7 linked regions of the Canis lupus familiaris genome follow. The protein of the gene in region 2 interacts with the protein of the main gene of each other region in a biochemical or structural test. Links are inferred from orthologs where the notes say so. Each region holds a gene or a part of one and is shown on either strand. Other genes may lie near its edges.

Region 1 (4,024 bases), on a different chromosome or scaffold from region 2:
CTCTGAGGAGCAAACTTCCACATCAGCCAGGTCTTTCTATGGAAACCTTCCCAGGACCGGCTGTGTGTATAAGTGGTAATATTTCCTTGCAATTGTCATCTTTCAAGGACAGTGGTACACAGACATTGTCCTCATAAATCCTTCTGGGAAGGTAAGAGGACTGTTTCATGTCCTATAACAGCTGTTGACCAAGCACTCAACAGGAGGTGAGGCCTTGGATACAGTTGGAGATTATGGGACTTCACAGAGGTGGCCTCTGCCATGTGCACACGTGCATCCTGAGGGTAAGCAGAGTTGTGCTTGGGCTCCCACGAGGAGCTGAAGCCTAAGGGGAGGGATGTGGGGTCAGAAGCCTTGGCTAAGCAGGCCTCCTGGGGCAGCTGCCTCACAGCTCACTGCCGAGCTATACCACATCGCCACCTCTGGCCACACACTTGTCTGGAAGTGAGAGGACAGCTGGGAGAGAGGGTGCTGGGCCCCATACATGGTGGCCTGGGGCTGGTCTCAGTGTGCCCCTTAGTGTTTGGGGCTTCAGGGGGGAGCACAGAAAGACACAGTCTGAGGCCTAGGTAAGGATTCAAGCACCTTGCACAGTGTAGCCCTGAGTGCTGCACTAGAATTCTCATGTGCACCTGCCGACTTGTACCCGCTGCAAGGCCACTGGGCCCTTGGTCCATGTGAGCCAGACTCCTGGCATGCCAGAGGGCCGTCCACCCAGTCTCTGCTCAGAAACACCAGTGAGTGTGTGTGTATATGGGTGAGTATGTACCCATTTAGAGCCAGACTTGTGGCACGGCCTGGTCTCAGAGGCAGGGCACATCCACTGGGGGCCACTGGGGATTGGGCCAGGTAGGGCCCCAAGAGACAGGGGCCAAGCCTTACAGGTGGCTTCTTCACCAGGACCACAGGGGCACCTGGTTGAAAGGGATGAATGGGGCAGATTGGGATGGAAGAGCTGTCAGTTCAAAACCAAAAGGCTTTTTAATTTTTAAAAAATTCAGATCTTTACCCAACATTGGTGCAGAAACAGCACCATTCTAAAACCTTCCCAGTGATGAAAAGTTCTCTTGCCTTGTTTCTCCAGGGGACTACCCTGGCCCTTGTTATCTGTGATGGTGCATGGGGGCATCTCCAGAATGCAGCCACTCAAGAATAGCAATGGGGGTGGGCTCTTTAGAGGGCCCTAGGCTGGTTGCCACACCCTGGTTGTCAGGGTGGCTCCAGAGCCACCTGTACATACTGCCTGGACAGGTACCTTTCAGCATCTTCACGGCAACGGTCGTGTATCCTGCTTTGCCTTTTAGCCGGAAAGCTGTTGCCTTAACCACTTTTCCAAATTCACCTTCTCCCAGAGTTTTTCCAAGAACTAAGTTCTTCCGAGGGAATTCCCACTTAGGATCCTCCTATGTGGGGTTGGAGGAAAGGGAAGAAGAGGAGAAGGGAGAAAGTTGGTGAGGGTAAGAGGAAAAGAAGAAGACAAGGCTCATAAATGAGTCTCCAATGGACAAGCTCTGGTGTGCAAACTGCCACCTGGACTAGTGGGCAATGGTTATCTACCTGCACTGAGAGTGGGACCCCACAGTTGGGCAGGACCTGTACCTTATGGAAAGATAAACGTTGCCACAGAATGGCCTGGACTCTGGATGCCTGGATCCTTGCTTGTCCCCAGTCTACCGAACATGCCCTTGGCCATCTCGGGCTCATGTCCTTGTTTCTCAAACAAGGAGTTTAGGGCTTACTAAGGATGTAGAGGGTGTTCACATAGGAGTGTGGCGTCTTTCCTGGGAGATGAGCCCAACCTTCCCGGTACTGTCCACAAGCCACTGATGTCCTACAGACTAGGCCCCAATCTGTCCTCTCCAGAGATTCCTAGGACCCTGTTGGCATTAGCAGCCTATGCTGCCTCCCAGAACAGGACCCCTAACTATGGATGGAAGTGTCCTTTTCTGTGTGGTGCCCCAGAAAAGATATCACTAGGGGGGTTGGAAGCCTCCATCCTGACATGTGGAAGAGGCTATTCCTCTCATGGGACTGGCCATTTCCTTGAACCTGCATCCACCTGCTACCATGCTCCCCTCTACCCATCTTGCCTTCCCACTAAAATCTCACTCAAGACTACTGTGGGGGGGTGCCTGGGTGGCTCATTCAGTTGGGCATCAGTCAGTTGAGCCTTTGGCTCAGGTTATGATCCCAGGGTCCTGGGATCCAGCCCTGCATCAGAGACTGCTCAGCAGGGACCCTGCCTCTCCCTTTCCCTGCCACTCTGCTTACTTGTTTGTGTGTGTGCACAATCTGTCAAATAAATAAATAAAATCTTACAAAAAAAAAAAAAAAAAAAAGGAAAGATTACTCTGGGACATCTTCCCAGACCCCAGCCTGGCCCCAAATCTTTGAACTCTGACCAGGGAGGCTGAAACCTCCCTTCATGTGCCGGCAGTGGGCATCTATTGCCCCAACTCTCCCTGCAGCTGGAGGTGGGTGTGGCCTGGGGGTGCTGCTATGATGAACCCTGCCAGACTCGCCTGACTCCCACAGATGACACCATTGGGTCCTCCGGCCCTGCCAAGCAGAGCCATGCTTTCCAACACCCAAGTATAGCTGTGTTTGCCCCTGTGGGCAGAGGTGACCTCCTTTCAGCACCGTATCTAGGGCTCCTGCTGGCCAGCTCCTGGGCATCCTGGTGTTGTCTCGGGTTCTGCAAGAACCCACAGTCAGGGGTGGAGTCGACAACATCATCATTGTTACCCTCGTGTCCTTCCTCCCCATTGCACCAGATAGGCATTCGCTGCATGTGGAAACTGCACTAAGCATGTGTGGATAGCACTGATTTGATTTTCTTTAGGGACATTAAAAATTCTCTCTGCTTTATATTGAGACAACTAAGATCAAGCAGTTGAGTAATGTGTCCTTAGAGCTGGTCAGTAGGCCCTGGGCTGCAGACTAGGCTCTGGCTTCTCCATGCTGAGGGCCCAAGCTGGTGTAGGCGGAGGGTGGTGTATGTTCACTTGTACAAGCACCTGCCAGCACTGCCCTTCCTGTGTACCTCACTGTACACTGCCTGGGTTTATAAAGGAGTCAAGTGGCTCATCCCAGAGGCTGGCTGTGGTGGCAGAGATGCTTTACAGGACAGGGGTCACATCCCATCTGTGTAGTGACGGGAACTAGGAAAGCTAGGAGAGAGGCTGCAGTGTCTGCCACCAGTGGGAATGGCTCCCATGGCCCAGGCCCACACTAAGGGGTGAGCACCCTTGGGTGGCACCTCCAACAAACCTTAGCCACCTCCTAGCCCTGGTTGGATACTGCCAAAGGCCAGTGGTTCCTGAATTTTCTGCTTGGAGGCTCTAGTCAAGATGCAATGTTCCCTGCCAGGCCTTGGGGGTGGAGCTTCTATTCACATGCACATCTTCTCAGCCCCACTTAAGAACCTGGTTTCCTGGAGCACTTGGGTGGCTCAATGGTTGAGCTCTGCCTTTGGCTCAGGGTGTGATCCCGGGGTCCTGGGATCGAGTCCTGCATCAGGCTCCCTGCAGGGAACCTGCTTCTCCCTCTGCCTAGGTCTCTGCCTCTCTCTGTATCTCTCATGAAAAAATAAAATCTTTAAAGATTTTAAAAAAGAACCTGGCTTCCAGCTCCTCAGCAGTTGCCAGCAGGGATACAGAAGAAGCAGGGCAGGTTGATGGCAGGCCTAGCAAGGAGGAGGTTCTATGGAGTACCCAGTAACTATGGGCCCAGGCCCTCCCATGGAGAAGGGGGAAGGGGAGCCTACTGGCTCTGGCTGGCACTCTCTATCAGGCAGCTGGTTACAGAATCCTGGGGCCTGCCTCCTCCACAGCTGGACCAGAGGCCCCACAGCACCTCTTTTTTCACTCCACAGATGAACTCCCCTCCCCACTGCTGCCACCCTGGTCCAGCCCCTGCCTGCCACCATCTTTTGCCTGGATGAGGAGAGCGCCTCATCATAGGGCTCCCACTTTTGCACCCACCCCATAGATGTCCCCACAGAGCAGCCTGCAGAAATGAAGGC
Region 2 (4,024 bases):
CATCTACTTTGCCACTCAGTATGAGACAAAGGAAAATGAAAATTGTCTTGTATTAGAATCAGAGAAAAGAGCCTGCAGAAGGGCTAGGACATAGCACACGCCCTTAGCTGTTTCTCCCAGCTCAGGGATGGAACGCACACCTATAATGCCTCCCTTACCTGTTGCTGTATTTGTGGTCACACAGAACCACACGGGGTGCGAGGAGCCTTGGGGCCAGAGGCTGCATGATTTACCCCCACAGCCCCCAGGACAGGGCCAGCTAGAGATAGGTTTCCTTGCAAAAGTCTTTTACACAAAATCACTTTCCAAATCAGGCATTCCAGTTCAGGTCATTAGGCATTTAAACTGTCCTCTAGAGAGCAGGGTCCTGCCCTGTAATGCCTTGTAATGCCTTGTAACGCCAGAACGATTGGTTACTTAATACCAGCAGTACCATCACCACCACCCCTGAACACCCCAGGAGTGAATCTCACTAACTCCTGTCCAGAGCGTCTCTAAAGTCACCCATAATCTCTGGATTCTCTCCTATTTTTTTGGTTTTGGGTTTTTGGGTTTTTTTGAGTAGTGACTTAGTATCACTTTCTTTCAACTGGTCTGTTTCAAATGCTTTCCGAGGTCAGAGAGGTGAATTGCTGTTTCCATTTTTCCTGTCCTTTGGCATCCACTTCCATTTGGCCAGCATTATAATTTCCCCTCCTAACCTTTCGAATGCTGAGCTGTGTCACTGCCCGTGTGTCTGGGCCCTCAGCCAGTTCAGAACAGCTGTCCATTTTCATGCCTTTGCAAAAGCCGGTCAGCACGCCTTGTCTTGGCCTCCTCTTGGAGGCCAAAATGCAATGTCGTGCAAACGATTCTTTGCTGCAGGAAACTGCAGTCCTAGTTGCTGGGGCCAGACTCTGACCTCATAGGACAATAGAGAAACCACCGTTTACACAGCCTTTCCTGGCAGCACAACAGCACATCTGTTGTTTGATTCCCACATCAGGGCAGCTGCCCATCATCCTTGGTGGGCGCCGCCTCCCAGCCTACGCAAGTTCAGAGGCCCATCTCCTCGGCCTCACCCTCGCAGGCACCGATGGAGTTTAAGCCTTGGGTGAGTGCTGACGTCAGCACCTGGGTGTCCCCTCCAGTAGGGAACCATCTGCAGCAGAGACAGAGGCAGAACAGTGTCCCCAGCGTTCTGCAGACACAGTTGGACACAAACACCCCAGCCCACAGGAGCCAGCCATCCAGGGCCGGGCCCCCTGCTCTGTTGGCGGTAGATAGGAGCTTCCAGAAGTCCTTCTCTTGGGTTACTTGATTCCTGAGACAAATGGCAGGATGAGGAAAGCCCTTCCCGTGCTGTGCCTGAGCCATCTCAACGTGTTTGGCTATAGCCTTGGTCCCTAACTGCCTCCTGTCACTGTTCTTGTTGCACAAGCAGGTGGATTCTGTGGAATTCACCGTCTGGGACATCGGAGGCCCCGCCAGCATGGCCACTGTCAACCAGTGCTTCTTCACGGACAAGGCCCTGTACGTGGTGGTCTGGAACCTGGCACTGGGAGAGGAGGCCGTGGCCAGCCTCCAGTTTTGGCTGCTCAACATTGAGGTGAGGAGGCACCAGCCCTGCAGCTCTCGGGCCTCGGAACATCACGGGGAGCAGGGTGAGGGGGTCTGCCGCTGCTCTGAAGCATCCCCTTGACTGCGGAAATAAAAGGAATGGTCAGGGAGAAACGCTTGGCATCTTGGCAGGCTTTCAGAGGACCCAGAATCAGGTCGCAGTGAAGCGCTTCAAACCCTCCTTGACCAGGTGATTATCAGCACTCTTAAATTTAAGAGCCCCCACCCCCGACTCTTGGACGCAAAAGGAAGACAGAGCTCCCGTCTCACAAGTCAAGGTGGCAAGAGCCTGGATGCAGGCCACAGCCACAGGAAGCTGACATAGAGGCTGAGGGGATCAGAAATCCAGCTCTTCTGGGGTGCCTCATGCAACCCCTCGGTGCATAACATGCCCTCGAGGCTTACAGAGCGGAGTGTGGGGCACAGTCCTGGGTGGTGCCGAGGGTCGGCTCGCCTCTGTGCCCGGGAGCTATGTCCCAGTCTCTTCTTGGAGCAAAGGAAGCCGATGCTCAGCTGTGGGGTTCTCTCTGGCAGGCCAAGGCCCCAAATGCTGTGGTGCTGGTGGTCGGAACACACCTGGACTTAATCGAAACCAAATTCCGAGTGGAGAGAATTGCAACGCTGCGCGCCTATGTGCTGGCGCTCTGCCGCTCACCATCCGGGTCCCGGGCCACAGGCTTCCCAGACATCACCTTCAAACACTTGCAGTGAGTGTCCTGCTCTCTCTTGCCTGGTGCCTGGCTGTGGCTGAGGCTGCTGCTCCTTCACCTGTCCATCTGCCGGGGGCCACCGGGATCTGCCTACAGAGGGCTCCTGAGCCAGAGCAGACCAGACCACCCCGGGGAGGGCAAGCTGCCTCTAGTGGGCAGGCAGGGCAGAGCCTGGGCACACCCTCTCCATGCTTCCCTCGGGGTCCCCTCCCCGCTGGAGCCAATGCTGAGCATGCATGGCCCTGATGGGACCAGGAGATAGAAATGCGTGTGCCTGCCACTCGTCACGTTTGCTGATCTCTGACCAATCGCAGACCCAGGTGTGGTCCTGGTCCTCACACTGGGTCTGAGCGGTCCCGGCCACTGCCAGTGGGACCAGAGCCCTGGGCTTGTTGCTTCTCTCTTGACTCACGACAGCCCTGTGGGGTTATGGGAGTCCTTGTGCCCACTTCACAGGCGATGGAACAGGCCCAGCAAGTTAAGGAAGCATTCTCTCGTAGGAATGAAGTGTGAGTTGCTGTGCTGGTGGCTCTCAGGTTCCTTCACCCCACTCCCCCTGGGTGGAGTGCTGCAGACCTTGGTGCAGGGTCAACCTGGGGACACCTCCACCTGCCCCAGAATGCAGGATCTGGCTGGTCCTGATGCAGAATTTCAGGAATTCTTCGTGTGCCCTTGAGGACACCCTGAGGCCGGCGATAAAATAGGGGCACTGGCCCTGGGCCAGAACCAGGTCCACCCCAAGTGTGCTCCCTTCCAGCTTGTGTCCTTGGGGGGGTGGGGGGTGTCACCTGGCACCTTTGGTCCTCACTTTCCTCCTCCTCAGGACACATACTACATCGCTCCCAGCACAGAGCTTTGCACTGAGAGCTTAATACATTTCTCTGTGTTCACCCTTCATGGGTTCTTTTAACTTGCCAGCCTTAGGGATGAAATTTTGGGACACAGATGCTGCAGAACTTGTCAGTGAGAAGAGGTGTGATGAGTGATCACGTTCTGTTTTGCACTCACAGTGAGCTCTCCTGTAAGAGTCTGGAAGGCCAGGAGGGGCTACGGCAGCTGATTTTCCATGTCACGTGCAACATGAAGGATGTGGGCAGCACCATCGGCTGCCAGAGACTTGCGGGGAGGCTGGTGGGTACCGTAGGCAGGATCCCACTGAAGCCAGAGGGGCTGTTCCCTATTCGCCAGGAATCTAAACTTCCCAGCCCCCCCATTGTCAAACACGTGTGCTGCGGGCTTAGGCTCAACAGTCCCCCATGCGAGCAGTTTTCTGGGGCAGGGGTGGGGAAGGCTGGGGATGGGGCAGCGAGAAGGGAAGTTCACACACTCAAGCCTCCGAGGGCAGCAAGCAGGGTTGGGTGGGCCGGGCACACCTCAGGACCTGAGGGGCCCAGCCTGCCCCCTCTGCACCCCAGATCCCCAGGAGCTACCTGAGCCTCCAGGAGGCTGTGCTGGCAGAGCAGCAGCGCCGTAGCCTGAGCGACGACGTGCAGTATCTCACAGACAGGCAGCTGGAGCAGCTGGTGGAGCAGATGCCTGACAATGACATCAAAGACTACGAGGACCTGCAATCGGGTGAGCGGGCAGGCCAGGAGGGCAGGTGGACGGGACACAAGCATGGGGCCTCCAGAAAGGGAGACTCACCTTTTTCACTGCTCTGCACCTGTCTGCGAATGACTGTCAGAGCACTTCAGGTGGTTGTGACACGGGAGTCA
Region 3 (3,601 bases), on a different chromosome or scaffold from region 2:
GCTGAGGAGTAAGATGTTGAGGGAGGCCTTCCCCTCTTTAGTGAGGTTACCAGTAAAAGCAGGATAAACCAGGGAAGGGTTGCTTTGCCTTTGGCGTATATAAGGGTTTCTTGTGATTCACAGTTATCCTTCCTGGTACACGGAGGCAGGCACCCTTACAAATGGAAATATCCCTTATAAATGTAAACATCCCTTACAAACAAGTAACTTCTATTCTGTTTTCAGAGCTTCTCCTGTGTCTGCAGTTTCTCAAAAATAATCAGCTTGAAATAATTCTTATGCCAAAGAGGCAAAATTTGAGATGGTATATTTTGCATGGATATCAGAATACAATGCTCCAATTTTGGCTGAAAAAAACATAACCATGATGGTGGAGAAAAAGCTGGCCTCGAAATTCGGCAGTGACTCATCCTTTCCAGGGAAATTTAAGCAGGCCAGTGGTTTCTAAGTCTTGGCCAGCACAGAGAGGCAATGGTGGGAAAAAGGATCCACATTTCATTATTTACATGAAAAAGTCAGTAATCTCCTCTTTGTCCTGTTCTGTAACTCCCTTTTTTTTTTTTTTTTTTTTTTCCCTGTAACCCCCTTCTTAATTCATCAATCTTTGGCCAGGATGATGAAAAGACCGGCCAGATCTTGATCCTGCCATGTGTGTCTAACCGTGCAGGGCCTGGAGTTAGACTGTACACTCATGGCACCAGCTGTTGGACCATGAGCTTGTCTAGGGAGGCCCCGGAGCAACCAAATTAGAAAGATCACCGCCAGTGAAAGGAAATACAAGTGCCCTATTCCTCCACGGAAACTCATGCTTTTCATATAGAAATGATAGCACATTTTTACATTAATGGGGTTTTATTGGGTCCATTATTTCTTTCCCCTGGATTTTATCTCAATACCTCAACCCCTCTCGTTTGTCCTCTCTGCCATCCAGTAACTTCTGAGGAATTGAAGTCAGGACTGTAAACCTGAGGTCAAAGGCATCACCTTACTGCTTGGGACCACCTCTTCTGGAGCTTGGAGGCCTTTTTTTTTTTTTTTTTTTTTTTTTTTTAACATTTCTAACCATGCCCCTGAGGTAGGCAGCAGGCCAGAAGGGTGACCTCTGGGTAAATGGTTCTTTTTTTTTTTTTTTTTTTTTTTTTTGTAAATGGTTCTTGTAATAATAAATTGACAGCTGTTGTCCGCTACTCATGGGAAATGCTGAAGCCAAGTGTACTCATTCCTCAAGTCAAGTGAAAATGGACCCACACTTATCCTAAATCCCATGAAAGAGTGGAAAAGATGAGCTCCCTTCTGTGGAAATGCTCTCACCATCGCTGATCTGCCTCATATCCTGGCTATTCTGGATGCTGTGGATCATTTCCAGGAGGATTTCTTTCTCTTGCTCAACAGCAGTTGCGGCTTCTCTCAAGGCTTCCACCCTATATAAATTGGGAAAACAAAAGTTACCACAGGGAAGTTTCCTTTTCCTCATCTCTATTATTTGCTCCATCTCAAGTTTAAAGATCCTTAGGAACACTTTTGAAAAGTTCTTTATTCTTTTTTAAAAACTTTAAAATTTTTCGGGCAACCCTCTTGGGGCCCTCCCTCTTCGGGAGCTTTGTACCATCACTTTACTATCGCTCAATAAACTCTGCTTTGCTGCCTGTCAAAAAAATATATATTTAAAAATTTTTTCTATTGTTTTAAATCCACCCACCCCAGTCTCCTTTTCCTCCTCGCGTGTATGGCATTCTATTTAGTGTTTATCTATTTTGTATTCGTTCATAACAAAATCTGTATTTGTGTTTTCATCTATTTTCAATTTATATTTCACTGTTTCTTTTTTCACTCAGCATTTTATTAAGAACCATCCAGATTCCTATGTGAATATCTAATCAGTAGCTTCTGATTGCTGCATGATACTCCATGTATATTCACCTGATTTCACCTCCTCTCTCCCAGTGAAAATGCTTACCATGTCCCCTTACTTGTCATCAGCACAAAAAAGCACTTCAATGAATACAGGTCCCCTATGGACTTGAATGAGAACCTTCTTAGGATTTATCTCAGGGCAGAACTGCTGAGACACAGGGTATGTGCACCCACCATTTAATTCGGTACTACCACTGTTCTCCAGAATGGCCACACTAGACCACTGTTGGGAAGCAAGTATTCTTGTCCCCTCAAAGGTTCTTCTAACTGGACTAAGAATCAAATTGACATGAGACAATTTACAGGAGAAAATCCAATTTAATAGTGTACATAGGGGAATCCACATACACATGGAAATTCCAAAGACAATTAGGCAAAATGAGGTATACCTATTATTCTGAAAGAAGGAGAAGGGGGTTAATGGTCTGGGACTTCAAAGAAAAGGAACGCAGGGTGATAAGAAGAGCAGATGTTTGGTAATTAGATGTTTGCCCTGCCATACAGATGGGCCACTCAGATAAAATTTATCTCTGCTTATAACCTTTATTCTGGGAAAGACCCCTAATTTAGATTCTTCTGTGTGGTTAAGGGAGGGGCAGAAGTTTCTCCTGAGCCTGCAGGCTCTCAAGTGCCTTCAGCTCAAAAGAACCCACATGCCAAAGTGGCACATTCTGGGGGGCCCTGTCCTGAACCCCTTCACAATATTCCCAGCAGTAAAGCATTGGAATCCCTGTGTTCCCACACCCCTACCAACACTCAGCATCTTCCAATTTCCTATTTGTTGCCAGTCTACTAAGTATACAGTGATATATTCATAATTAATCTGCATGTCTTTCATTACTAATAATTTTGGACATCTCTTTGTATTCTTGTTAGCCTGTTCACAGCCTTTGCCTATTTTGTTTTTTCTTTTTTAAATGGGGGTTACTGTCCTCTTGCTGATTTGCATACTCAAAGAATTAGTCCCATGTTAGTTACAGACATTGTAATAATCTTCTTCGATCCTATCATCGATGAATTTTGCCTGGGATATTCTTCACTGAATAGATATCCTTACTTTGAAGTGATCAAATTAATATTTTCTTGGTTTTGTTTGCCTTGTGGCTTATGCTTCTGAAGGGTCTTTACATCTGAGGTCATAAGGTATTTTCCTACATTTCTTTCTATTAACTTCATTGTTTTACTTTTCTCATATTTATGGCTTAGTCCATCTAGAATCCACCTATATGTGTTTAGGTAAGGATTTTTTGTTTTATTTTTCTCCAAATAGTGAACCATTTCCAACATTATATCCACCAAAAATCCATCTTTCCTCTGACTTATACATTGTCTACTCTGAAATCTCTGTTCCATCTAGTAGTGTATCTAACTGTTCTTACACCAATATCCATTTTAAAAAAATACCAATAGCCTTGTAATATGCCTTAATATTTGGTAGAACCAGCCCTCTAATCTTCTTTAAAGATAGTTATTTAGAGTTTTAGTATTCCATATTAACTTTCGAGTAAGTTTCTTAGGTTTCTCAAAGAACTGGGGTAAATATGGCGTCTTTAGCATATTGTCATTTCGGGATGCCTGGGTGGCTCAGTGGTTGGGCATCTGCCTTTGGCTCAGGGTGTGATCTTGAGGCCCTGGGATCCAGACCCACATCGGGCTCCCTGCATGGAGCCTGCTTCTCCCTCTGCCT
Region 4 (3,185 bases), on a different chromosome or scaffold from region 2:
AGAGGTTCAGCGCCTGCCTTTGGCCTGGGGGGCGATCCCGGAGTCCCGGGATCGGGTCTCGCATCAGGCTCCCTGCATGGAGCCTGCAGACTGTGTCTGCCTGTGTCTCTGCCTCTCTCTCTATCATAAATGAATAAATCTTTAAAAAAAAAAAAAAAAAAAAGGAAAAAGGTAAAAGAAATGCAGATGCGCAATTCTGTTTTCATAAAAAGAGCACTGAGCCATGTCGGTGTATGCAGGTGCGTGTGTGTGCATGTGTATACACAGAAGCACCTAGAAAGCTACGTTCCAGTTAACGGCGGTTACCCTAGGAGTGTGCCGGGTGACTTACTTTCTGGACTTCCCTTCCGTTTGACCGTTGTCACACAATGACAAAAGTCTGAAGAGCGACGTGGCGTCTGCTTACGAGGAGAGGCACAGCGTGATTTCCGTCCGCTGCATGCCGGTGGCGCCCTCCTCCGAGTTTCACATTCACGGGCTGCGAAGCTGCACAGCGACCGGGGGAACGCGCGTCCATCTCAACACGGCAGGCTGTACGGAGTGAGTCTGGCATCGAAATATCTCAGTCCCTAAAGTCAAGTGAAAACTTACACACACCACTGAGGGCTCACCAGCAGGATTTTTTTTTAGGGTTATTTATTTGACAGAGAGAGAGAGAGAGCGCTCAAGTGTGCACACGAGTGTGGGGAGGAGCAGACGGAGGGTCTGAAGCCGACTCCCCACCAAGCAGGGAGCCCGATGCAGGGCTCAGCCCCACGACCCTGAGATCATGACCTGGGCTCAGTGCCAGCCACGTAACCAACTGCGCCGCCCAAGCTCCCCTCGTAAGAATTTGTGTGTGTGTGTGTGAGAATTTTTGATTAAGAATCTGCTCAGTCAGAATGAGAACAGGCTCCAGACACGGAGTCTCAGGACCGCCGGGTGAAGACCGCCCCCACTCAGGAGAGCGAGAGCCCCGTGCGTCAGAGACTGCGTGCCGCCTACAGGGCCCTTTACTAGAGAATTTATTTGCTTCTAAGACCGTCAGACCGTAATTCCTGTCTTCGAGTCGAGGGTTCAAGGCAGAGGCGGAGGCGCTCACTGGTCTTTGAAGCTGGCCTTTCTCTTTTCCACAAACGCGGTCATCCCTTCCTTCCGGTCTTCCTGGTGGGAGAAGGAAAATAGGTAGAGATGGACGTTCCCGGTTTCCTACGGGCGGAGGCACGGGCTCGGCCCGTTCTGGGTTTGCTCTCGGTCTGCTGGGCTCCTCTGACAGATTCCCAGGGTGGGGAGGGTCCTGCCCCGGGACTGCCTGCGCACCTGCGCATGGCCTGGAACCCCGGCCACCGGAGCCCCCAGGGGTGATCATCCAAGAACCACCGCTTCGTGTGTCAAACTCTCACCCAGGGAGCCTCAGACGCACCTGCTTGGGCCGTTCACTAATTCGCTCCCTGGGTTTAGTGGCGGTCCGCGTGGAGGACCATCCTGAGCGCCATGGAGCAGGACACAGGCGTGCAAGCCCTAGCCCTACACCTTCCCTGCGCGTACGCACGAGCGTGCACATGGTCACACGCACGCCTTCACTTCCTCGAGGGCCACGGCCGTTTCCGAGCTCCCATAAAACACACCTGTCTAGGACTCTAATCGCGGCAGGTGGGTTTCAACACCTGTTACTAGAAGGACTGCCTCTCGCTTACTGTCAAATCCTGCAGGACACTGTTCTGAAGCCTCAGAACACAGCATTAGATACATTCCAACTCCACGCCAAGTCGTTGGAACGATCTAGAAAATTACGGCAGATGGATTGCCTTTAAATACAGGAGGCTGCCGTTTAAGGGCGCGATTCCTGATTCCTGAGACCTTGGTCAAGGATGTAACGCTTCATACTTTGGGCAGTTATTTGCTAATTGTGCTCGTGGGCAGGACGCATCTGATCCAGCTGCAGGGCGGCAGACAACTCATTTACCGCAGCCCTACGGGGACCTCCCCGGCGCGCTCTCTGGCTGGGCCCCGCGTCCATCCACCCCGACGCTCACTCACAGTAGCGAAAGTCGCGTAGAAGAGCTTCTTCTCCAGCCTGTTTCCCTCCGTTAGCGTCATTTCAAAAGCTGAAAAGAAATCCCTTAGGTTATGACCCAGGGGCAGATGTGGGAACAGACAACTCTTCATGGGGACAGGAAACACTCCCCACTGACCCAATCAGCCTCGATTTTGTCGTGATATTGTGACCTACACGGTCGCCTACGAAGACCCCCCCCCCCCCGCCCCCTGCCCCCGGCTTCCCGCCGGCGGCCCCACAGGAGAGGAACAAGGAATGGAGTCAAGAGTGCGACGGCCAACTCTGTGCAAGCACAAGAGGACTGGAGGGCCAAGAGAATCACATACTACTTATTAGTTTTTAAAATGTTATGTTGAGAGAAACTGTGAGCGTGTACAAGCAGGCGCAGGGGCAGCGCGAGGGGCACAGTCACAAGCAGACCCCCGCTGAGCACGGAGCTGGAGCTGGAGCTCGGCTCCCGACCTGACATCACGACCTGAGCCAGGAGTCAGATGCTCTGTGGGCTGAGCCACCCAGGTGCCCCCCCAGAATTACATATATTTTAAAAAGCATTAAAAAATGAGAATGAAGGGGCAGCCCGGGGGGCTCAGCAGTTTAGCGCTGCCTTCAGCCCAGGGCGTGATCCTGGAGACCTGAGATCGAGTCCTGCGTCAGGCTCCCTGCATGGAGCCTGCTTCTCCCTCTGCCTGTGTCTCTGCCTGTCTTTCTTCTCATGAATAAATAAATAAAATTAAAAAGAAAATGAGAATGAAGGATGAAAACCGTAAAAAACGTTGTGCCATAACAGAGTCCTGGGCGGGCAGGGCACTGTGGCCCCGGGAAGGCGAAGTGGTGTCCCTGGCTGAGCACCTGGACGGACAGCAGGCGCCTGGACAGCACAAGCAGCGGGGGCCGCCCCCGCGTGAGCTAACTGCTCATTCTGTGGGGACGCATCACCCACGGCGGTTCAGCCAAGGCCAGCAGCCCGGGGGGCCCGCCCGCCTCCCTGCAGAGGAGCCGCAGACCCGAGCGCCCGGCTCACAGCCCCCCAGCTCGCAGCCCCCCGGCAGGCAGTGGCGAGCAAGCCGGCAGCTGACCCCAGTGCCGAGGACAGCAGGCTCCGTGAAGACACAAGGATGCTCAGTGGGGCCAGAGCTGCCCTGCCGGT
Region 5 (4,774 bases), on a different chromosome or scaffold from region 2:
AGTGGCATCTGGTTATGAGGAGGAACTTCCTAACCATCATGGTTGGATAATAACAGGAATGGGAAGCACTGGGAGATAATGAGTTTCCTGTTACTGAATGTGTGCAACCAGGAACTTAATGACCATCTCTAGGGGCAGTTTTAGGGAGATATTATACAGAATCCAGGATAATGGAGAGAATATAAGACATCAGGAGAACTAGTTCTCGTCCTGTTTGTATGACCCAAGGCAGGTCCCTTCCTCTCACTGAGCTGCAAACTTCCCATCTGTAAAAAACAGAAGTACCAGACCAGATTTCTGACAACCCATGGTTTTGTCTTTTATACCCAGACTTGTGAGACATATGCCAAAAGTTAATATTCTTGTTTGCTGTTCAGTAAATGAGTGAGTGTTGAATAAATTAAGGAATGAAGTGTGTCTTTTTTGCCCCAATGTCCTACGCTAAGTGGAATGAAAATTAGCTAGAGCCTTGAAATTACATGGGACTTGGCCATAAATCCCAGCTCCCCTATTTCCTTGCTCTGGATTTTGGGAAAGTCAATTTGGCTCTTCATCCTGAAAAAGGACCATTGTTATCCAATAATAGCTCCCTCCCCAAGATGTGTGAGATGTCACCCTATGTAAAGTGCCTAGAACAGGGTGTAGGACGCAGTCAAACCTCAAAAACTGAGAGCCCTGCCTCTTCTGCACATAGTGGAGCAGGGAGTGTGTTGTGTTTTCCATTCAAAGCTACTTTCCCCCACCTGTCTCTCCTGTGCCATTCAAAAAGGGTAGTAGGAAGGATTGTCAGAGAGATTTTATTTGTTCAGTTGTATAACAAACAATATCTGCCCTGCTAGGGACTGATCACGAGGGCTTTTGACAGGAAGTGACAATTAATTCTTTCTGACCTACTCCTGCCCTCCCGATAAAAGGTAAAACACAGCCCTTCAGGGAAGTTGCTGAGATTACCAGGCCTTCTGTATCGGAAAAGAACAGAATGAGGAACTCATAGCTGCAAGTCCCCACACTCAGAAACCTCTGGCAAGCTGTGTGACTCTGGGCAAATAACTCTGCCTTTCTGGATCTCACTTCCCCGTTTATTACTTCCTATGTGTGAGGCTCAAATGAGATTTTAAGAACCTGTGAACACTGTAGAAACAATAATCGCTACGTGACTGATGGATATGTCAGCCCCAGGTCTGCGCCAGGCACTGGATCAGGGTCCTTCCAAGAACCAATTACAAAATTAGTACTAGTTTGAAATGTTCCTGTTTCACACAGGAGAAAACCTAGGTTCGAAGTCAGACTCCAACTCGGATAGCATGTCTTCCCTTGGCCTCAATTTTTTTCACCGGAGTGATGGGCCTCCCGCTGTCGCCTGACTTTGGAAAGTTGGGAGTGCTGGATGGATGGAGACTGTGGGATAGATTGGGGCCCGCCGGGGCAGGCCGGGTCTTCGGGATGGGTGGGAGGATTCACGGAGGCTGGGAGCCCCTGCGGATTGGGTACGATCCCGCAGGGGGGCTGGGGTTCGCCCAGGCCTACCCAGGATTCCCAAGTCCCTCCCGGAGCGGAGGGCCCGGGATTCCCGGGAGGCTCCGGGGAGCGGGCGGGGCCGGGGGCGGGGCGGCGGCAGGAAGCGGCCGGAGCGGCGCTGGGAGCGGCCTGGGCCCGGCGAAGCCCGGCCGGCCTCGGTAAGCTGCCGGGGCTGCAGCCCGGCCCCCGGGGTACCGTGCGCCCCTGAGCGCAGGAGGGAGAGACGCACGAGCGGGCGGGAGAGACGAGGGGAGCCTCGCGGCCTCTCCCGGCAAGAGCGCGGCCCTAAGTCTGCGCGGGGAGTGGGGGGCGGCGACGCCTGCGGCCCGCGGGACCCCCAACGGGCTGGGGCGGGGCCTCCGCGGCGCCCCTCCCCCCGCCGCCTGGGCCCCGCCCCTCCTCCCCGCGCGGGGCCCAGGGTCTTCCCTCCGGCCCCCGCCCAGGACCCAGCGTGGCGCGCTCCCCCCAGGGTGCCATGGCCTCGCGGCTCCTGCACCGGCTGCGGCACGCCCTGGCCGGCGACAACCCGGGGGAGGCGGCGGCCGGCCCGGAGGCCGAGCAGTTCCCGGAGAGCTCGGAGCTGGAGGACGACGACGCCGAGGGCCTGTCCTCCCGCCTCAGCGGCACCCTCAGCTTCACCAGCGCCGAGGACGAAGAGGACGAGGACGACGAGGACGACGGGGAGGTTGGCCCCGACCCCCTGCCCTCCGGGGACGGGGCATCGGGAGAAGATGCAGGCGAGTTCCCGAGGACAGGCGGGAACCCTGGGGCTCCATTAGGCCTCCACCCTAGCCCTGTTCCCCAGCCACCTCTTGGCTGTGTGACCTTGAGAGAGTCACAACACCTCTCTGAGCCAAGTTTTCCCTCGTGTCAAATGGGGTAAATCACTCCCACCTCGAGGCTGCTGCGGGCATTAAACGTACAGGGTCTGGGATACAAATCGTAATAATGTGCTTGCCATGTTTTGCGGGATGGAGGTATTTAGAGCCTACTATCTGCCAGGCATGGTTTTGGCACCTGGCCCCTCTCTGGCCCTCAGTTTCCATTTATGTCAAATGGAAATAAAGCCTATCTCACCTGTTGGGAGGATGAGGGTGGGCATCATACACAGTTTATGTCTAACTTAGCCCCAGGCCCACTGATGTGACTGGTCGTGTGCTCATGCAGAACGGAGCCCCCCACCTGATGGGCAGCGGGGCAGTCAGCCCCTGGCAAGGCAGTTGCAGGATTTCTGGAAGAAGTCCCGGAACACCTTGGTGCCCCAGCGGCTGCTCTTCGAGGTGACCAGCGCCAACGTGGTCAAGGACCCACCCTCCAAGTACGTGGTGAGTGAGGGCCCAGGAACTCCTGGGCTGTGAGTCTAAGTCTGGCTAAGAGAAAGGGAGGAAAGACTCCCAACTTCCTGCAGCGGTGGGGGGCTGTGGGGCGTGGCTATATAGTTATAAATGGTCATCTCATTTTAGAAATGGGGAAACTGAGGCCAGAAAGGGGATGTAACTTGATCAAGTCCTTAGGCAAATGACAGCTTTCTGAGGGATTATGGACCTGCCCCCATCCTGGTTTGGAGACTAAGAAAACTGGTGTGTGCGCCCCACCCCCACCCCAGATTTTGCAAACCCTAGCAAAATACAAGATATACAGAAAAGAATATTATGTGGGTCAGACCTGAGACCCAAGTTGCATTGGTTAGTGGCTAAAACGGGTTTTCGATCCAGACCTTGATTCAAACTCTACTTTTTCCCAGCTGTTTGACCTGGGGTGAGATGTGTAACCTTGGTGACCCTCTTTCCTCATTTCAGCGGTGAGGATAAAGCAGAGAATTGTTGCAGAAATTAAACGAGACAGAAAAAAAAATAAAATAAAATAAAAAATAAACGAGACAGAGATGCCCAGGTGGCTCAGCAGTTTAGCACTGCTTTCGGCTCAGGGCATGATCCTGAGTGCCAGGATCAAGTCCCACATCGGGCTCCCAGCATGGAGCCTGCTTCTCTCTCTACCTGTCTCTGCCTCTCTCTGTGTCTCTCATGAATGAATAAATAACATCCTTAAAAAGAAAAAAAAAATGAGATAGTGCAGAGAGAGCCCTTAGCACTGTGCCTGGCGTTATGAAGTGCTTGATAAAATGGTAGCTCCATTATCCTGACTTAACTTTGGCTTGAAAATGTCTGGCATCTAGGACCTGTTGTGGCCTCCTTACAGCCCAGGTGAATCAGTCCCCAGGCACCCACAGTGTACACAGTAATCTTGTTCTGACAGCTAGATTTAGGGGGTAGGTGGGGTTGGGATGAAGAGCAGTGTGGGGGAGGGCCTTGGAGTCTAGTTTTCCTTGCCATGGAAGGGAGAAGCTGGCATGGGAGAATGAGGTCTGCCAGTCCTGAAACCCAGCCTGACCTGGCCAGTCCTGGCAGACTCAGACTTCCTTCATCTTCACCACCCTCCTCCATTTCTGACTCAGCAGGAAAGGGGCCTGGAGCCCTGTCCCACATCTGGGCCTCTCCATTCCTTTCTGCTGCTGTTAGTCAACGAGGGCCACGCCCATGGGGTGACTGCTCCAATTTGAGCAGGGATTGACTCTGATGATCTAGTCTTAAGTGGCAAGAGTCCCAGCCAGGCGTCATGCACAGGAAAGGGACCCTGAGGAGCAGCCGAGCAGCAGGGAAGTATGGGGTGAATCTGGGAAGAGAATGACAAGATAGAGCAGGAGGGCCAGATATGCCCTGGCCCATGTCTGGGGAGACAAGTCCCCTCCTCTGTCCAATGGGACCCTAAATTCCCGATTTAACTTTTCCTGGGGGTTGAAAGCCCAGGCTGTGGAATTAAGCAGGCCTGGCTATTTCCCAGCTGTGACTTAGAGGACATCTTTGAGCCCTTTGTCCCTCGTGGAGCCCACTTCCTCTGCTGTCAAACAGAGGCAGGGACTCCTTACTTACTGTGCTTCATAGTAAAGTGCCCAGCACAGCACATCATGGCACAGGGCAGGTGCTCAGTTAATGGAGCTACTGTTATTATTTTCTATCTTGGCAGAACATTACAAAGGTCAGATGATAATGGATATAAAATGTTTCCTTTCTGCCCAAAACTTAAAAATAAAAGTAAAAGCTACATGAATATAAGGGGTCATTTTAGACAATGCTTCCTGAAGTATATTTTGCAGGAAACTGGTTTCCTGGAATGTTAATAACTGTTTCTTAAAAAAAAAAAAAAAAATGAAGCCACTATGTTTTGGGACTGCAGAATTGAATGAGAGTAAAATAAA
Region 6 (4,024 bases), on a different chromosome or scaffold from region 2:
GCTTTTTATCTTCCAATACCTCAGGGTAATCAGATAGTCAATAAAGGGAAGTTTCTCTTTATAGAAGTGCTTCAGGGTGCCTGGGTGGCTCAGTTAGTTAAACATCTGCCTTCAACTCAAGTCATGATCCCAGAATCCTGGGATCAAACCCTGTGTCAGGCTCCCTGCTCAGCAGAGAGCCTACTTCTCCCGCTCCCTCTGTTATTACCTCTGCTGTGCTCATTCTCTGTCAAATAAATAAATAAATAAATAAATAGATAGATAGATAGATAGATAGATAGATAGATAAAATCTTTTTTAAAAAAATAGAAATGCTTCAGATCAAGAAGGAGTGATAGAAGTAGAATAGCAACACTTTGCAAACCTTTCCTAAAATGAGAGATTTAGATAGTACAGGAAACAGAGGACTGCATTATCACCACAGACACAGCAAAACCCAGACTGTGGGTACCAAGGCACCTAGTTTCTTCAATACCCCCGAAAAGAAATTGGCAAGAAAAAAGGGAGGAGAAAGAACCTAAAGACTAAAGAAACACTTCAGCTCTCTATGATGTGGACTTTCTCTGAGTCCTGAAAGCAGCGAGCTTGATTCCAGACTCCAGGGAGCTGTCCACTTACTGGATTATCAGGAGCAGTTACCTTGTCTCCAGTGTTGTGTTGATATTGTCCTTGCTTTTTAAAGAATGCTTATCTTGGGGCAGCTGGGTGGCTCAGTCAGTTAAGCAACTGCCTTCATTCAGTTCAGGTCATGACCCCAGAGTCCCTGCTCAACAGGGAATCTGCTTCTCTGCCCACTCCCTGCTCATGCTCGTTCCCTCTCACGCGCTCTCTCTCTCAAAAAGGTGAAATCTTAAATCAAAACAAAAAAGAACTTAAAGTGTGCTTATCTTTGAGGTCAAATTTATGGGTGCATTGTTACATGGCCAGTGAAAGGGGGACTTTAGGGGCGGACAGTATGGGTGCTGCAGAAAGACTGGCCATGAGTTGTTCACTGGGAAGCCAGGGGATGGGTAGATGGGAACTTGTTACCCTATCCTCTAGTTTTGAAAAGTATAGTGTTTTCTATAATAAGATTTTTAAGTAAAGTACGCGAAGGGAAAGTACATATGACCACTGATGTAGCTGTAATGATTTCCAGGCGAAACGGATCTCAACGCTGCCATCACCGAAGCAGGAAAGACTTACGAAGAAATTGCTGGTCTTGTGGCAGAGCAGGTATCCACAGAGACCCATGTAGCTCCAGGGCACAGCAGCTGCTGTCCAATCCACATGTTCTTTCAACCTATTTTAAAACAAACTTTGCCAACAACTCTCCTCTTATGTTCCTCTGTATCTTTTGTTAATTGTATATGGTAATAGTGTTTCTTTGGTTAAGCTAAAGTGATGGATACATTTATCATCGAGAAATCTAAATGAGTATCTTCCAGTGTCAATGGCTGGATCCATCCTCAGCCATCAGGAGTTGGAATGTTCTATCAGGAACACCGTTCATATCACCATTTAGACTCTTAGCTTGTCTGAGGCTGCTTTACCCACCTGGTAAACGGTGGTAGTAGAGCCTACTCTGTAAGGTTCTCAGCATTCAGCAGCCACAAAGGAGAAGGCACCAGTGGGGGATTTGGCAGGGAGAAGGTCTTTGATAGAGTCACATGGCTTTTACTGAGGCCTTCAGTAGTCCTGATTCCAGTTCTTTTGACAGATAACCAATAACAAATTCCCTTAAGGGGAATAGACATCTGTGTTGACATTTGTGTCTCAAATCCCTAAATTAAAAGTTTTTCAGACAACTTCTTGAAATACGTATTTGTGCACATACACCCGTTGCACACCCCTTCGTGTTAGTCATTGACTACTGCTCCTTATAGAAAAAGATTAGGTTGAAAAAAAAGAAAAGAAAAGAAAAAGATTAGGTTGTAGAAATGCATAACATAGCTATTAAAATTATAATTCAGAAAAATTGAAATATTTTAAGTTGCCACTTAAGATAGTTACCAGATCTTTAGTAATAATTTACATTCTCTGCCAAAATTTAAACATTAAGTTACTACATCTTCTTTGCTTGTGTATGAGTAATATTAACCAGTTTTCCCCCCTAATAGTATTATATTTGAAGCCGCCTCAAAATAACTAATTTTTATCAGCCAGCCTAAAAACGATCTGATGTTTTATGATTTTCTCTCCAATCTACAATTGAGAATGTAGTAGTCTTGGGGCCTGTTTTCTTGCAGGAAAACTAGGCTGATTGCATAGCCCTTGGTATGGTAACTAGTACCCCAGGGGCTTGGCTCATGCAAGTCCTCTGGGCAACTGTTTTCTTGGCCTTGATGGTCTGGATTTCTCTGCCAGGAATAACCACCCTGTGTCTTGTTTTAGCCAAAGAAAGATCTTCATTTCCTCATGGAATGTAATCATGAATATAAAGGCTTCCTTGGCTGCTTCCCTGATATTATCGGCGCCCACAAGGTAACTTAAGCACAGAAGTGCACAGATGACACGGGTGACCTAGGGCTGCTACGCAGGGCCACCTGCATGGCCACCTGCGAGGGCCCTGTCGGTCAGCTTGGCCCCAAGTAAGGAAGAGCTTTCTGAAATCGGCCGGAGCTGCCTGTGGTGTTCAGTTAGTGAGGTCCCATAACACATATAGGCTATGGGTTATTGTTTCTTTGATTCTATAGACAGACTATTTTGAGGGAACAAAAATGTGAAAAATACTCCTTTCTGCCTATACTTAGGTCAGGTATCAAACAAAATAATCATGCTATTTGAAATTCAAAACAAGATTAGGAATACTGCTTCCCTTACTAGTGAGACCTCTGTAAGCTGCTTGGGCAAGTCACTAAAGACCCTTCCTTCCCCGTCAAGATGAAGTAAGATATTCTGTCCCTGGGCCTGACGAAGGGTTCCTAATTAAAACTTAAATGGTCAACGTCGATTTTATATTTTTGTGCTAATAAGGAAACTATAGAAGTCCCACCATAAAGGTATTTTTTGAACTGAATTTTGACATGTTTTGGGATGTCCTCACTTTTTGATTCTGGTTAGTTTTTCTGTTTCCAACTCATTATTTCAGAATAGGGGCATTTTATCAACTATAGTACTCTGGGATGTTGTAATATACTTGAATTTATTAGGAAAATCTCTGCCAAGGGCTGGTCTGTGACCCTAACAATTCTGACATGTGGCCATTTTAGCATTCAGCTCAATAATACAAGCCTCAGGAAGGGGTAGTATGGGCAAATAGGAAGCTTTGTGCAACTTCAGATAATTTAATATGAAACTCAGAACATTCTCTTTACCAAGTGGACACTTGGGGGGTGTTTCGGTATTGTGGCTGTTGTGGGTAATGATAGGAATGCAGTGATCTCTCTGAGATAGTGGTTTCCCCTTCTTCAGATATGTACCCAGAAATGCAATTGCTAGGGGAGTAGATCTTAAATGTTCTCGTCACAAGGGGAAAAACAAACTTGTAACTCTGTGAGGTGATGGATGTTAACTGTTACTGTGGTCATCGTCCTGCAGTAAAGACAGACCTCAGATGGTTATGTTGTACTGTCGTACACCTTCAACTCCTACCTTGCTGTCTGTGAATCACATCAACAAAACTGGCGGGGGTGGAGAGGGATAGGGAATAAAATAAACATAATAAAACTAAAAGTCTTAGTTAAAAAAACATCTCAGAAGAGTTAGCTTGTTGTAGGGATTTATGCCAGCAGTTAGAGTTTTGGGCATGGAGCCTGATTTATGCACGAGTAGAAAGTTTTTCTTCCCAGGCAGCTCTAATGAGCACTGTGATGATCCTGGAGTGGGAAACGTTTGGCAGCTTTTACCACGACTTCTGAGTATCAACTTGGAATTGATGCAGTGCTCCTTACAGACCTGGAGCAAAGCTGACAATTCACACGCCCAGGCACCCACAGACAGCATGCCCCCACCGATAGAGACAAAGAGGGCCCTGACACACACACGGGGCTGCCCCTCATCCACTTTCTAAACTCCGGTGCCTGTTTCTGTCTCATGTGCTACT
Region 7 (4,461 bases), on a different chromosome or scaffold from region 2:
AGCTGCTAGAATTATCTTCTGCTTGACGTGAAACCCGATGTTGAGGGAGACGCACATTAGCTTCGGAAGAGGAAGGTGCACGGGCTCTGCTGCTGGAGGCTGGGCACCTATTCACTGTGTACTCCACTTCTGGAGCTTCTTCATAGCTTTCACCAAAAGGATGTACAAGTCCCTGTTGCTGTGAGGTTGTTTGAGATGACTTGATGTTACTTACAGAGGAAGAGCCACAAACTAGTGATGAAGTATCAAGTACCTGGTCAGAATTCTGGGCCTTATCTGTGTCCACATCAACAACTGCAATTGCTTTTTGCTTTAGCTCACAGTCTAAACTAACAGGATGAAACAGTTCACTTTTTCTTCTAACTTCTTCACATTCTGCAATGGCAGCTTTCAGTTTGGCAACAGAGTCTAAGATCTTTTTACCTTTGTCGGGCAATTTGCAAATGAATTTTCTGTTAAATGGGGAAAAAAACACACATGTATTTGTTAGAATCATGTTTTTAAACTTGAGATACAAAGACAAAAGCATTATCCTCAAAGGGAAAAAAAAATCTATCTTTAAGCCAAAAATCTGACTTCCTACTGCATCAGAACAGGAATAAAGTAAAACGCATTATCTAAATACTCTAAAAATACATGATGCAGAAATAAGTATTCCTCATCTGTCTAATTAGAATTTCAGCAAAAGTATTTTAAGCACATAATATCCTATAATACACCCCAAAACTCGCAGTTTTTAAAGTGTGATGTCCAAGGCCTTCCTAAGGAGGGGACGTGGATGGGTCTGCATGGTCAAAATTATTTTCATAATAATACTAAACCATTATTTGCCATTTCCATGCTCCTTTTCTCATATGGGTATAATGGGAGTTTTCCAGAGGCCACGTGATACTGCTCTGATGGCTAATCACTGTGTATTCTTGTGTTTTAAAGATCTCTCACCTGTAATTACTTTTTTTTCTAATTTATTTATTTTTGGGAAGAGAGTGAGCGCAAGACCACAAATGGGAAAAGGCAGAGGGAGAGAAAATCCCAAGCAGACTCCTGGAGCCGACGCCAGGCTTGATCTCCCCACCGAGATCCCGACCTGAGCCAAAACCAAGAATCCAACGCTTAACCGATGATGCCACCCAAGTGCCCTTCTCACCTGTAATTCCTAACACACCAATAAACACCAGTAGATGTTTTGTAAGTAGATGTTTTGTAAAACACCAGTAGATGTGTCTTGTAAAACAAGAGCTCCTTGGGACGCTCCTTAAGTCTTAACAGTATAAATGGGGTCCTGAGACCAAAAGGTTAACTCGCTGCTATAGATTTAAAAAACCATTCTCACAAAGTACTTGAACCTACTCGAAAGCTCCCAAATGGTCATTTGTCCCTTTTGCTGACTGACAGAAATTCCTTTTCAGTTTCTCTCTCTCTCTCTTTTTTTTTTTTTTTTTTTAATCTCTATTAGAAACGGAGGGAAGATAGATTACACCTCTGGCTCTCCATTCTCTCACATTACATTCCTTCCCACAATTACAACACCGAATCCCTCTCCAGCTGAGATTCCTACATGTCCTCAGCCTTCTCTCTCCGGATCCTCATGACCACTACTCTAGCTTTCCCCCACCTCCCCAGGATTTTATTTATTCACGAGAGACACAGAGAGAGGAGAGAGAGAGAGAGGAGGGAGAGAGAGAGAGAGGCAGAGACACAGGCAGAGGGAGAAGCAGGCTCCACGCAGGGAGCCCGACGTGGGGCTCGATCCCGATCCCGGGTCTCCGGGGTCACGCCCTGGGCCGAAGGCAGGCGCTGAGCCGCGGCGCCACCCAGGGGTCCCCCTACTCTATCTTCTAAGTACATCTAACTAACTCCCTGTCCAACTCAGCACCCCCCGAGTAAACTCAACCTCGGAGCTCTTCCCCAATTTTCCTGTTCTTACCAGTGGTCCTCCCTACAGGCTGGGAACTTCAGCCATCCCTTTCAACTACCTACCCCGATTATTCCACGCCTGGTCGGAGTTTTCCCAATCCGACAACTACTCTTCTACAGTCCCCCTTGCTGGGAACTTCTCTGAAAATAACCTCCAGCTGTCGCCTGCCTCGGATTCCTCCAAAACCATCCTGCACCGATCTGCTAAATGAAGCGTCCTTAAAAAAAATAAAATAAAAAAATCACTCTCATTATGTTGTTCACCTGCTAAAGGGAAGTCGGCCAGCTGGAGGGGACAAACTTTTCCTGCCTAATGCAGCACTCCAGACTCTCCCTCTCCTTCCTACAGCTCCCGTAGGAACGGGACCGAGACGGAACTGACCCGGTGTCCTGGGCCCGGTCCGGGCGGCAAGGGAGGCGGAGGTGCCACGGGATTTAGGCCACGGCCCCTCCCTTCAGGGAGCCGTCGGGGTAGCAAGGTCATTAGCACCGCGGAGGACTCAGGGAACAGCTGAGACTCCAGCAGCCGGCCGTTGGGCCCTCGCGCGGCCGCCTGTGCGGCGGGAGGCCGTCCGCGGGCCGGCGGCACCCCCGGGTCTGACGGAGGGAAGGTCACCTTCCAGGGCAGGGAACCCGACGCGGGGGAGGGCAACGAACGCGTCCCAGGGAGCCCCGACCGGAGAAGCCTGGCGGTGACTCGGCGGGACCCCAGCTTACTCGTTGCGCAAAAGTCTCTCCTGGCGCTTCAACATCTCCCGCAGCTCCGCCAAACTCCGCCGCCCCAAGTCCTCGGGAACTTGGGGCTCGAAGCCGCGGGCCAGCGAGGACATTCTGCGGGGGCTGCGGCTGGCGCGGCGGCGGGCACTCGGCTCCCTCGGCAGCCCCCGCTGCTGGCGCCGGATCCGCCGCCGGCGTGGACTCCGAGGTACGAGCGGGAGCCGCCATTTTCCCGGAAGAGCGGGGCTTCTTCGAGCCGAATCGAGCTTTATTGAAACACCGGAAACAAACACAGGCGAGGGGAAGGGGGCGCTGGGAGGAGCGGGGAGGGGCGGAAGTTACGTAAGCCGAGGGGGCGGGGCGCGCTGGCGCCGGGGGTCTCTTCGCGGCTCGTCGGCTCGGCTCTTCAGGTTTATTCGAAAAGTGTTGCCTGTAGCGCCGCTGTGACCCCCCAACACGTGTCCCCGACTCCTGCCGTTGTGGAGCTTACCGAGGGGTGGAGGGAGGCAGACACTAATCAGGTAATGGTGAAACAGCAGTAAGAGGGGCAGCCCGGGTGGCCCAGCGGGTGAGCGCCGCCTTCGACCGGGGGCGTGACCCTGGGGACCCCGTTTCGAGTCCCGCGTCGGGCTCCCTGCAGGGAGCCTGCTTCTCCCTCTGCCTGTGTCTCTGCCCCTCTCTGTTTCTCACGAATAAATATCTTTTAAAAAAGAAAAAAGAAGCCCCCCCCCCCCCCCCCGGCAGGTGCCTTCTGAGAAGTGGGATGGAAGTGGAAACTCGCCCTTGGTGAAGCCGGGGGAGTGTGCCGGACGGGGCCCAGGCGGCCAGGGCTTAGTGAGGTCCTCAAACTAAGTTGGAGGGATTTTTCGTGACTATCAGCGTTTCTTAGTGGGACTCAGTGGCATTCGGAGCAGGACATTTATGTGTCTGGCTTGCGCCCTCTGGTTCAGTGCAGCTCCCAGCTCGGAACAATCCCCGACGCCTCTACCAGTCCCCCCCCCCCCCCCCCCAGCCCCCCGACCCCACCCTCGGCCCGCCCCGCAGGTACACAGGCCCCTCCAGAATCCGCCGGAGGTGATGGTGGCAGGTGCCGGACAAGTCAGCCTGAAACCGATCCTTCCTAACTGCCCAATTCGCCCGTGGGAAAGCAGAGGCGCAAAATCAATGAGGTATTCCCAGGGCACAAAACTAGTTAAGTGGCCGCACCAGATGTCACTCCAATGCCCAGCTACTCTTTCTACCACACCCGTTTGGAAAAAATCTTCTTTTTTTTTCCGCCTATTTCCAAATGTTTAAAACTGTTGAAAGTTTTTTTTTGTTTTTGTTTTTTTTCTTTTCAGGTTGTTAAGAATCTTAAGAGTAGAGCAGTGTAAGAAGCATCCCAGGTGGCTCTGACTTTGTCTTTACAGCTCAGCTACCAGAGCTGTGTCCCAAAGCAAAACTAGGAAAAGCGTGCAAGAGTCACAACACGTAACGGTTGGGGGGTTTGGGCACCCCTATAACCTCCAGCACCACCTCCCCCCATTCTCTGATATGGAAAATCTTTAATTTTCTCAATCCTGTGTATAGTGCTGTAATAAATAGAGCTGTTCCCTCCCAATCAGATAGAGGCTCTTAGATAAAATCTGAAACTACTCCAGGGATACAGTTGAAGCCATTTCTGTATTGTCCCAAGCTAGTCCATTCTGATCAGAGTAAAGTATCCAAATTCTCAACATAAGCCCTGCTTGCAAAGACCTCAAGAACCTGCTCCAGGGCAGCCCCGGTGGCGCAGCGGTTTAGCACTGCCTGCAGCCTGGGGTGTGATCCTGGAGACCCTGGATGGAG

Evidence for each region.
Region 1: the proteins of LRRK1 (region 2) and RET form a complex in vitro, tested with the Homo sapiens proteins (2 studies listed by BioGRID and IntAct, with this or other methods). The link is inferred for Canis lupus familiaris from reciprocal best matches to the Homo sapiens genes LRRK1 and RET.
Region 3: the proteins of LRRK1 (region 2) and BAG2 form a complex in vitro, tested with the Homo sapiens proteins (2 studies listed by BioGRID and IntAct, with this or other methods). The link is inferred for Canis lupus familiaris from reciprocal best matches to the Homo sapiens genes LRRK1 and BAG2.
Region 4: the proteins of LRRK1 (region 2) and ECHS1 form a complex in vitro, tested with the Homo sapiens proteins (2 studies listed by BioGRID and IntAct, with this or other methods). The link is inferred for Canis lupus familiaris from reciprocal best matches to the Homo sapiens genes LRRK1 and ECHS1.
Region 5: the proteins of LRRK1 (region 2) and SNX21 form a complex in vitro, tested with the Homo sapiens proteins (2 studies listed by BioGRID and IntAct, with this or other methods). The link is inferred for Canis lupus familiaris from reciprocal best matches to the Homo sapiens genes LRRK1 and SNX21.
Region 6: the proteins of LRRK1 (region 2) and SNX9 form a complex in vitro, tested with the Homo sapiens proteins (2 studies listed by BioGRID and IntAct, with this or other methods). The link is inferred for Canis lupus familiaris from reciprocal best matches to the Homo sapiens genes LRRK1 and SNX9.
Region 7: the proteins of LRRK1 (region 2) and POLR2M form a complex in vitro, tested with the Homo sapiens proteins (2 studies listed by BioGRID and IntAct, with this or other methods). The link is inferred for Canis lupus familiaris from reciprocal best matches to the Homo sapiens genes LRRK1 and POLR2M.

Annotation. Positions count from the first base shown.
Region 1 is NC_049249.1:4,110,673-4,114,696, forward strand, and holds part of RET (proto-oncogene tyrosine-protein kinase receptor Ret), read right to left. Parts: intron 1,632-4,024; exon of another isoform or gene 1,404-1,631; coding exon 1,256-1,403; exon of another isoform or gene 182-1,255; intron 176-181; exon of another isoform or gene 1-175. UniProt on the Homo sapiens protein: Receptor tyrosine-protein kinase involved in numerous cellular mechanisms including cell proliferation, neuronal navigation, cell migration, and cell differentiation in response to glia cell line-derived growth family factors (GDNF, NRTN, ARTN, PSPN and GDF15).
Region 2 is NC_049224.1:40,400,163-40,404,186, reverse strand, and holds part of LRRK1 (leucine-rich repeat serine/threonine-protein kinase 1), read left to right. Parts: intron 1-1,423; coding exon 1,424-1,588; intron 1,589-2,133; coding exon 2,134-2,306; intron 2,307-3,319; coding exon 3,320-3,440; intron 3,441-3,724; coding exon 3,725-3,884; intron 3,885-4,024.
Region 3 is NC_049233.1:24,632,576-24,636,176, reverse strand, and holds part of BAG2 (BAG family molecular chaperone regulator 2), read right to left. Parts: intron 1,422-3,601; coding exon 1,312-1,421; intron 1-1,311. UniProt on the Homo sapiens protein: Co-chaperone for HSP70 and HSC70 chaperone proteins. Acts as a nucleotide-exchange factor (NEF) promoting the release of ADP from the HSP70 and HSC70 proteins thereby triggering client/substrate protein release.
Region 4 is NC_049249.1:41,450,549-41,453,733, forward strand, and holds the end of ECHS1 (enoyl-CoA hydratase, mitochondrial), read right to left. Parts: intron 2,088-3,185; coding exon 2,020-2,087; intron 1,144-2,019; coding exon 1,078-1,143; 3' UTR 883-1,077; downstream 1-882. UniProt on the Homo sapiens protein: Converts unsaturated trans-2-enoyl-CoA species ((2E)-enoyl-CoA) to the corresponding (3S)-3hydroxyacyl-CoA species through addition of a water molecule to the double bond.
Region 5 is NC_049245.1:33,764,887-33,769,660, forward strand, and holds the start of SNX21 (sorting nexin-21), read left to right. Parts: upstream 1-1,631; 5' UTR 1,632-1,676; intron 1,677-1,943; exon of another isoform or gene 1,944-1,987; 5' UTR 1,988-1,993; coding exon 1,994-2,255; intron 2,256-2,685; coding exon 2,686-2,843; intron 2,844-4,774. UniProt on the Homo sapiens protein: Binds to membranes enriched in phosphatidylinositol 3-phosphate (PtdIns(P3)) and phosphatidylinositol 4,5-bisphosphate. May be involved in several stages of intracellular trafficking.
Region 6 is NC_049222.1:47,942,138-47,946,161, forward strand, and holds part of SNX9 (sorting nexin-9), read left to right. Parts: intron 1-639; exon of another isoform or gene 640-746; intron 747-1,138; coding exon 1,139-1,215; intron 1,216-2,373; coding exon 2,374-2,463; intron 2,464-4,024. UniProt on the Homo sapiens protein: Involved in endocytosis and intracellular vesicle trafficking, both during interphase and at the end of mitosis. Required for efficient progress through mitosis and cytokinesis. Required for normal formation of the cleavage furrow at the end of mitosis.
Region 7 is NC_049251.1:23,182,241-23,186,701, reverse strand, and holds the start of POLR2M (protein GRINL1A), read right to left. Parts: upstream 2,882-4,461; 5' UTR 2,748-2,881; coding exon 2,635-2,747; intron 453-2,634; coding exon 1-452.